Linked DNA regions of Oryzias latipes. The protein of the gene in region 1 purifies or fractionates together with the protein of each later gene. This does not show direct contact. Links are inferred from orthologs where the notes say so. Each region holds a gene or a part of one and is shown on either strand. Other genes may lie near its edges. The genes, in order: cytoplasmic FMR1-interacting protein 2 and wasf2.

Region 1 (3,820 bases):
GAAAAGTAAAAGTTTTCCACTGTCTTCTGCCTTTTAGAGCTGCTCAGTTCTTGAGGAAGATGGCCGACCCTCAGTCCATCCAGGAGTCCCAAAATCTTTCCATGTTTTTAGCAAACCATAACAGGATCACTCAGGTTTGTTTGTGTCCTTTTCACATGTATGAGGTTGAAAATTAGATTTAAAAGGTTAGTGTTAATCCGAGCTGTTTTTTTCTATTTTTTTTTAATAAAACTGCATATTCAAATCAAAAGATGTTTTTTTTTTTTTCTTTACAGTGAACAAAAGTGGAAAGACGTTGGAGAATTGGGTTCACTGTTTATGCACAGAGCTGGTTAGATTAGGGTTTGACTTAGCTTTCTCTGCTGATGAATGAATATAAACCAAATGAGAATATTAGAAGTAGTCTAAAATAGCATAACCTATAAAATTATAAAGTCATTCAATTTTGTATAATTCTCAATTAACTTCTTTAATTTAAACAAAATAAAGGGACAAAATGCGTACAGTAATATATATTGTGACTAAAACAAAATTCTTTTCTTATTGTCAAATTTATAAAATCTACAAGATGACAAAAACGGCTTCATTTTCCGTGTCTAATCTGTAGTGTGTTCATTTTTTTAGTGCCTGCACCAGCAGCTGGAGGTGATTCCAGGATATGAAGAACTTTTGGCTGATATTGTCAACATCTGCGTTGACTATTATGAGAACAAAATGTATTTGACGCCGAGTGAGAAACACATGCTGCTAAAGGTCTGTGCAGCTCAACTTAAAGGGTAGTAAAGCTCTGATATCCATGTTGATGTTTATTTTAAGCAAGTGCTCTCCTTGTGCCTTCCAGGTTATGGGCTTTGGTCTGTACTTGATGGATGGAAATGTAAGTAATATCTACAAATTAGACGCCAAGAAGAGGATCAACTTGAGCAAGATTGACAAATTCTTCAAAGTAAGGCTCCAGCTGCTTTAACTACATTTTAGCGACTAACATAAAAAAAACAAATGGGTGAGGCGTTCATGCACTGTAATTTTCAGCTTCAAGTCGTACCACTTTTTGGAGACATGCAGATCGAGTTGTCACGCTACATCGAGACAAGTGCTCACTACGAGGAAAACAAGTCCAAGTAAGGAAACCCTGCCAACGAAATGCTGCTTTTCGGATCGACCTGTACAGTTCCTCTATGTTTCCTGCACGAGGCGTCTCCAGTGAAACGCCGCCGTCTTTTGTGCGCAGGTGGACGTGCACTCAGAGCAGCATCTCACCGCAGTACAACCTGTGTGAGCAGATGGTGCAGATCAGGGACGACCACATTCGCTTCATCTCGGAGCTTGCGCGCTACAGCAACAGCGAAGTGGTGACGGGTTCCGGGCTGGACAGCCAGAAGTCTGATGAGGAGTACAGGGAGCTGTTTGACCTGGCTCTGAGGGGTCTGCAGCTGTTGTCAAAGTGGAGCACCCACGTCATGGAAGTGGTAAGTTAAGAATTGGATGAAGTTTAGCCAACTCTTCAATACGATAAAGAGGTTTCTAGAGTTTTTTTAAGCAATTTTTGCTTAAAGACCCACTACATATAAACAGGTGGATGATGGGAAAGGGGAGCGGGGTTGCCCTGCACCAACAGTCCTGCCCACAACTTGGAGTTGAATTTCTATCAAATACTAGAAAACAACACAGGCTTTTTGAATTTGAATAAAAATGGCAATTCGGTGTGGGTCTTCAAAAACTAGCCCCGTGGGAGAGTGTCTGCCCTGAGACTGGAAGGCCGTGAGTTCAAATCCACAGTTGAGTCGCACGAAAGGGACCCAATGTCTCCCTGCTTGACACTTAGCAATAAAGAGGTTGGATTTGGGGGTTAAACCCCCAAAAGGTCACTGAACATGGCTGTGTCTGCACCGCTCCCCTGGGGGATGGGTCAAATGCAGAGAACACGTCACGTAGCTGACCTGTGTTGCAGTCGATAGAACTTTAACTTTTTTTTTTCCATTTGACCTATTTCCAACACTCCTTTTGTCTCTTTCAGTACTCATGGAAGTTGGTACATCCCACAGATAAATTCTGTAATAAGGACTGTCCAGGCACAGCAGAAGAGTATGAACGCGCCACAAGGTACAACTACACCAGTGAGGAGAAGTTTGCCCTGGTGGAGGTCATTGCTATGATTAAAGGGCTGCAGGTAAACACTGCCGACACATAAAGTGTTCGCTAATTGATGTTCAATGCAGGAGGACATTTAGAAACGGTGTCTGGACAGATATGGTGTCTGCTAAATAGTTTTATTTCAACTTAATTTATAGCTCAGGTGCTAAATAAAGAGGTCTCAGTCCTGAAGACATGCATAATGGTGGTTCTGTGGGATTTGCTGTGTAGGTGCTCATGGGTCGTATGGAGTCGGTGTTCAATCAGGCTATCAGGAATACAATCTATGCAGCCCTGCAAGACTTTGCTCAAATGACCCTCAGAGAGCCGCTACGCCAAGCGGTGCGCAAGAAGAAGAATGTCCTCATTAGGTACTGCAAAGTGAATCAGATAATCCCTTTTGGATTCAGCCTGCAAGAGATGAAGTACCAACTGTGGGATTTTTTTTTTTTTTTTTAAAGTGTTCTCCAGGCAATTCGAAAGACTGTCTGTGACTGGGAAGGAGCAAGAGAGCCTCCGAATGACCCCTGTCTGAGAGGCGAAAAGGATCCAAAGGGCGGTTTTGACATCAAGGTGCCCCGTAGAGCTGTGGGACCCTCCAGCACCCAGGTAAAGCATAAAACATACCAGGCTGCTTGGCATAGAAGGTGCAAGGTGCATGTTATTTGGGTTATTTGGGGAAAGGATTGCCAGGCACACAATTTTTATTTTATTTTTTCAAAGGAAAAGATAATAATCAAAGGGGAATCTGTCTCACCAGAGATGAAGGCAGGTTTTAAAAGTGAAGACAATCAGTATTGCCAGCTTCAAAGGGGGTTAGTGTTCTTTCTGTGATGGCAACAATATGAGAAAATGTCTTATTTTTCTTCAGAAAGAGGCAATACCTCTATTTTTTATAAATTTTTTCATGCTTTGCATGAAATCAAAAATTGATTGTCCAGTTTATTTATCTAAGTGGCAAATATCTTTGATGTTGTAGTTTGTTCCCTTTTGTATTGAATGAATGAATTAATTGAATTGAACTATAAAGACATACTCTAAAGAAAGTTACGTTTAAAATTGCATTTCGGATTTTTTTTTTTTTAGTTCAAGTAGTTTTGAAACGGAAGCAGACGATAAAATTTGGTTTGTAAAAAGAGCTTATTTGTGATATAAAAAAAATGCACGGAGCGGGCCACAAGATCCCTGCTCTCACCAACAGGGAGGGGGAAGATTAATTTCTAATGAACTACTGCCACTCCATAGGAACAATGTCCACAGGTTTTTAAAAAAATTGGCGAAAAACAACATAATAATTAAAAGACCACTGGGATACTAGATCAAAATAAAACACAAGTGGGACTTTAAGCATTTTTTGTTTCTTAATTTGTGAAAAATAAAAAGCATTTTGATGTTTGGTTGTCTTCCTGTGCAGTTGTACATGGTCCGCACCATGCTGGAGTCCCTGATAGCAGACAAAAGTGGATCGAAGAAGACTCTCCGCAGCAGTTTGGATGGACCCATAGTGCAGGCCATCGAAGATTTCCATAAGCAGTCCTTCTTCTTCACACATTTACTGAACTTTAGTGGTAAGCTAAATGTAATTCAAGTCATTTATTCAGGAGATGGAATATATTTTTTGATTGAAATCGAAAATTTTAGTTGGAATATCAAACTATAAGTGCATGCTGTTTGTTTTAATGATCCT
Region 2 (4,246 bases), on another chromosome or scaffold:
CATCTTTTTTTTAAAAAAAACAAAGCCGCTTTACTTGAGTACAATTTTGGCAGCGCTATACTAGACCTTTCTCAACCAATTTGGTCTCCTCATAATAATTACTGAAAAAAATAGACTAATATCAACTGATGTTTTCTTTTAAAAACAAAATGTAACTTAAAGACAACATATTGTTAACCAGTTGCATAATTCGACATTGCTTATCACTAATTTCATCAAGGAATAAGCTTTGATGCAATTATTGATTATTTTTTTGCCTTTTTTTGCTGAATACATGATTGTATCCTCACAGTTTAAGCTTGCACACCTCCAAAAACAATCAGCTGTTATGATATGAATAGTTAACATAACCCAGACATTTTTCTATTGAATATATTTAAAAAATGGGAACAAAAACATATGTTATAGATGTGCAAAGCAGAAGTGCTTTTACAAATGTAAGGCTCAGTAACAAGACAGAAAATTCAAAAACAATCAAAGAAGGAAAGAGGAAACAAAGAGAGTAAATCTGTTTGTAGCAAATATTTCTGTATATAAGTCTTCAAAATAAGAGTATTTATCAAATTTATCTAAATGCACCATTGTCCACAAGATATCTCACAAAAGATTTGAGAATGTGTTTCCCATTTGTTATTTCTACATTTGTTTATATTATATTTTCATTTTAATCATATTTTAATTTTGTTTTTATGTTCTAACTTCCCCAAACATAATTAATAGACGCCAATCATTTAATAGACATTTTTTATATCCAGTGTCTTTCCATACAGTATGTGTACGTTTGTTATAGATACAAAAATTAATGTATACATAAATTTTTACAGTATTGAACCTGCCTGTGCAAATAAAATCCTTAAACCCATAAAGTCAAAACTTTTTATCAAATATTTTGAACTATATAACCAAAGAGAATCTTCCATGTGTTTCTCTCCACAGATGCCAGTCATTCCTCGGACGCGTTCCAACTTGCTGAAGCAGAAGCTGGAAAAAAATCCCTCCTCCGCCCTAATTTACGAAAATTGCGGACAGATGTTTGTCACTAGTTAGGGTGGAGTTGCGTGTTTTACGTTGAAACGTCCACATCCTGTTCTTGGTGAAATCAGACGACAGTCGCACGAGCCAATCAACTTTGAGGAAGTCTGCCAGCAGCCAATCGGAAGTTTAGAATTCCGGGACTTACTCTCCTGGTATCGTTCGACAGTTTACTGTACCGCTCAACTCTTCTGAAGAAAATCAGGAGACAGCACAATTTTTAGAGTGGATATAAAACGTGAAAGTGCCATTTCTGCGGGTAAGTGAAATATTTTCTTAAGAATAGTTTTCTTTGTAAAGTGACGGGGGTAGATATTTGTTAGTTTGACTGTTTCCTCGAGATAAGAGTCGCCTACAAGTTACTTCCTGCTCTGACGAGGAGGCCGAGTTGCACTTAGCATGTTTTAGCTAATGTTGTGGGAATAAAAATACCTTATTTCTTATGGTTTATCCGAGAAAGCTCAAAACTCGACATTATGGTTATACTTACATTATTCTACTGGGGGAGGGGGGTTGTAAGGTACAACATCATGGGTTTCAGATAGCTAACTAAACATCTTGGCTTAGGTAGGAACGAACAATTCGGAGCATTTTCCGTAGAAACCTTGGAAATAATAAATACGCAGTTAGCCATGTAGCATTTAGACCGTGATACATGACTTTTCTTTTCTTTTTTTTTAAATGAAAGCGCCCACGTTGTTGTCAGTGTGAATGGAGCTCGACAGGGTGTAGTAGTTCTCTGAAGGTCTGCTGTCACTCACTGCAGATATCTCTGTTGACATTATCTTTACTTTTTCCGCGCGCTAAACTAAACTAAATAAGTCATAGGCATGATGTGCGCGCGCGCGGACGTTAACAACATTCACCATATAATGAAGAATTTGATTTCTGCTGCCTCAGTAGACAGTATAAAAAAGGCTTCGTAGTTCTTCATGTGGAACCTATTGAGTTCCCATAAGGCAGTAGTTAGAAATCTGTCTGGCAGGGTTTTGCTTCTGCTTTTTTTTTGTCTCTTTATTTTTATACATGTTGGCCTAAGCATGTGACCTTTGCAGAGTTTAGTTCAGAGTTTGGTTATTCATCTGTCTATAAAGGTCCTTAAGGGCCAGTTATCACTGCAAAACACAGAGATGGTTTAAATTCACATGCTTTGATGGAATTCTTTGTTCAAAATTGTATTCAAAAATATATATTTTTATAATAATAATAATAATAATAATAATACTAATGGATTGGATTTATCTGCACTAAAAGCTCTTACAATGTGTCCATTATTCATTCACTCGTCATTCATACGCTTTTCTACACCAGTGGAGCCCCACTGGAGGCAGGGAAGGGGAAGTGTCTTGCCCAAGGACACAATTATAGTTGACTGGAGGGAGCGGGGATCGAACCGCCGACCTGCTCCACCACCAGAGCCACTGCCTCCCATTTGGCCTCCCTTTGGTTTTAAAAACAGTGTGTACTTGCATAGTGACTTCAACTTAAAAAAGGGAAACTTTCACCTACCAACGTGATGAATTCCTACAATGAAAAATAGAGGGGATCCGATTGTTGTTGTTTTGTTTTAGGTTTTTTTTTTTTATAAACCTACCCTTCTACTGGTCTGCGTACTCATTTCTCCCAGGTTGGTAAAAAAAATAATAATAATTTCGTTGCATCTCTTCTTACGCCTAATCAAAGCCAGAATTTTTGGCTTTGAGTCCATTAATGAAGAAAAAAACAGGATTGTTTCAAATGTTTTGAATTAAAATCTTCTCTTCTTTAGGCCTAAAAGTAGGATCAGATTTGGCCTTTAAAAACCCACTTTGATCAATTGTAAAAAATGTCGATTTTATTGTCTGTCACAAAGACGATCTTTTTCAAACAGCATTTTTTTGTTGTTGTCTGCTCCTGATTCATAATCATTTGGATAAAGGAAAACTGAGAAACACAACTTTATGCTTAATTTACTTAATATACGTTCTCAATCATCAGAAAAATGAACACATTAAAAACAGCAAAAACACAATTTTCATTAAGTGGGTCTTAAAAAGGAGAGTATTTCAGTCTGAAAATAACTGTGCGTTTACATCAGTATTTCAGGTCATAGATCTTGTATCCAATTTTTTAACACTATTACTAACATTGTCAATAAAACAAAGAAATTCCTCTCGATTAAAAGGGTTGCACCAACTTAGAATATATTTTTTCTCAAACCCCAAAATGCCCACATAGGATTTTCCAGTGAACATTGTCTTTGCATTGTGCTGCAGCTGTTCATAAATGTTAGACATGAATCTTTATTGGCTTTTCCTGATTGATGAGTTAAGAGTCTTTATTGTTAGAGAGGTACTTTAGTTCAGCACTGGCTGTTATAGAATGTGAATTTTTCATAGCTAACCATTTAACAGGATGCACAAACAGACGTGCAAACCAACCTGGTTGGAGGGTCCTCTCTAAACACTTTGGTTTTTTTCTTCCCTTTTTGAATGTAGTTCATTACTGAATCGTGTTTTGTACACATACAGGGTTTGGCCGTCCTACCTGCCGACCCCCACCATGCCTTTGGTGACTAGAAACATAGAGCCACGGCATGTGTGTCGCCAGACCATCCCATCCACCATCCGCAGTGAGCTGGAATGCGTCACCAATATCAGCCTGGCTAACATCATCCGACAGCTCGGCAGCCTCAGTGAGTATGAATGTGGAGCTGAGCAAAAATTGAGTAACATCTTGAGGCCCATTCTATACATTTGCTACAGTAAATGAATGGTTAAAGCCTTTTTAAAAGGATGATTTTTGTCTTAAGCTACATTCTTTGTTTTTTAAGGTAAATTTGCAGAGGATGTCTTTGGGGAGCTGTTTGTTGAGGCCGGATCTTTCGCTCTTAGAGTGGACACACTTGTCAAAAGAGTGGAATGTCTGCAGGTTAAAGTCACCCAACTAGACCCTAAAGAGGAGGAAGGTATGTACTTTTTTTTCACGTCACATCAGTCATCGACACTTCAGTTTCTTTTTTTCAATAAAATAATTGTCTTTTTCTCTCAGTCTCTCTACAGGCCATCACTACTCGTAAGGCTTTTCGCAGTGATCGAAGTCAGGACCAGCAGTTGTTCATCAGGCCGTCTCTGCCGGTGCCCATACAGGACACCTACTTGACCTGCAATCCTCCTCCCCCACTCAACCAGCTCAGCCAGTACCGGTAGGAGGCAACAGCCAGCCACAGTTGCAT

The links.
Region 2: the proteins of cytoplasmic FMR1-interacting protein 2 (region 1) and wasf2 purify together in Homo sapiens (co-immunoprecipitation; 3 studies listed by BioGRID and IntAct, with this or other methods). This does not show direct contact. The link is inferred for Oryzias latipes from reciprocal best matches to the Homo sapiens genes CYFIP2 and WASF2.

Annotation. Positions count from the first base shown.
Region 1 is NC_019868.2:21,204,687-21,208,506, forward strand, and holds part of cytoplasmic FMR1-interacting protein 2, read left to right. Parts: intron 1-37; coding exon 38-134; intron 135-624; coding exon 625-753; intron 754-841; coding exon 842-946; intron 947-1,032; coding exon 1,033-1,121; intron 1,122-1,231; coding exon 1,232-1,469; intron 1,470-2,017; coding exon 2,018-2,170; intron 2,171-2,364; coding exon 2,365-2,504; intron 2,505-2,594; coding exon 2,595-2,742; intron 2,743-3,547; coding exon 3,548-3,701; intron 3,702-3,820. UniProt on the Homo sapiens protein: Involved in T-cell adhesion and p53/TP53-dependent induction of apoptosis. Does not bind RNA. As component of the WAVE1 complex, required for BDNF-NTRK2 endocytic trafficking and signaling from early endosomes.
Region 2 is NC_019869.2:21,800,018-21,804,263, reverse strand, and holds the start of wasf2 (wiskott-Aldrich syndrome protein family member 2), read left to right. Parts: upstream 1-1,160; 5' UTR 1,161-1,291; intron 1,292-3,542; 5' UTR 3,543-3,573; coding exon 3,574-3,706; intron 3,707-3,844; coding exon 3,845-3,979; intron 3,980-4,062; coding exon 4,063-4,216; intron 4,217-4,246. UniProt on the Homo sapiens protein: Downstream effector molecule involved in the transmission of signals from tyrosine kinase receptors and small GTPases to the actin cytoskeleton. Promotes formation of actin filaments. Part of the WAVE complex that regulates lamellipodia formation.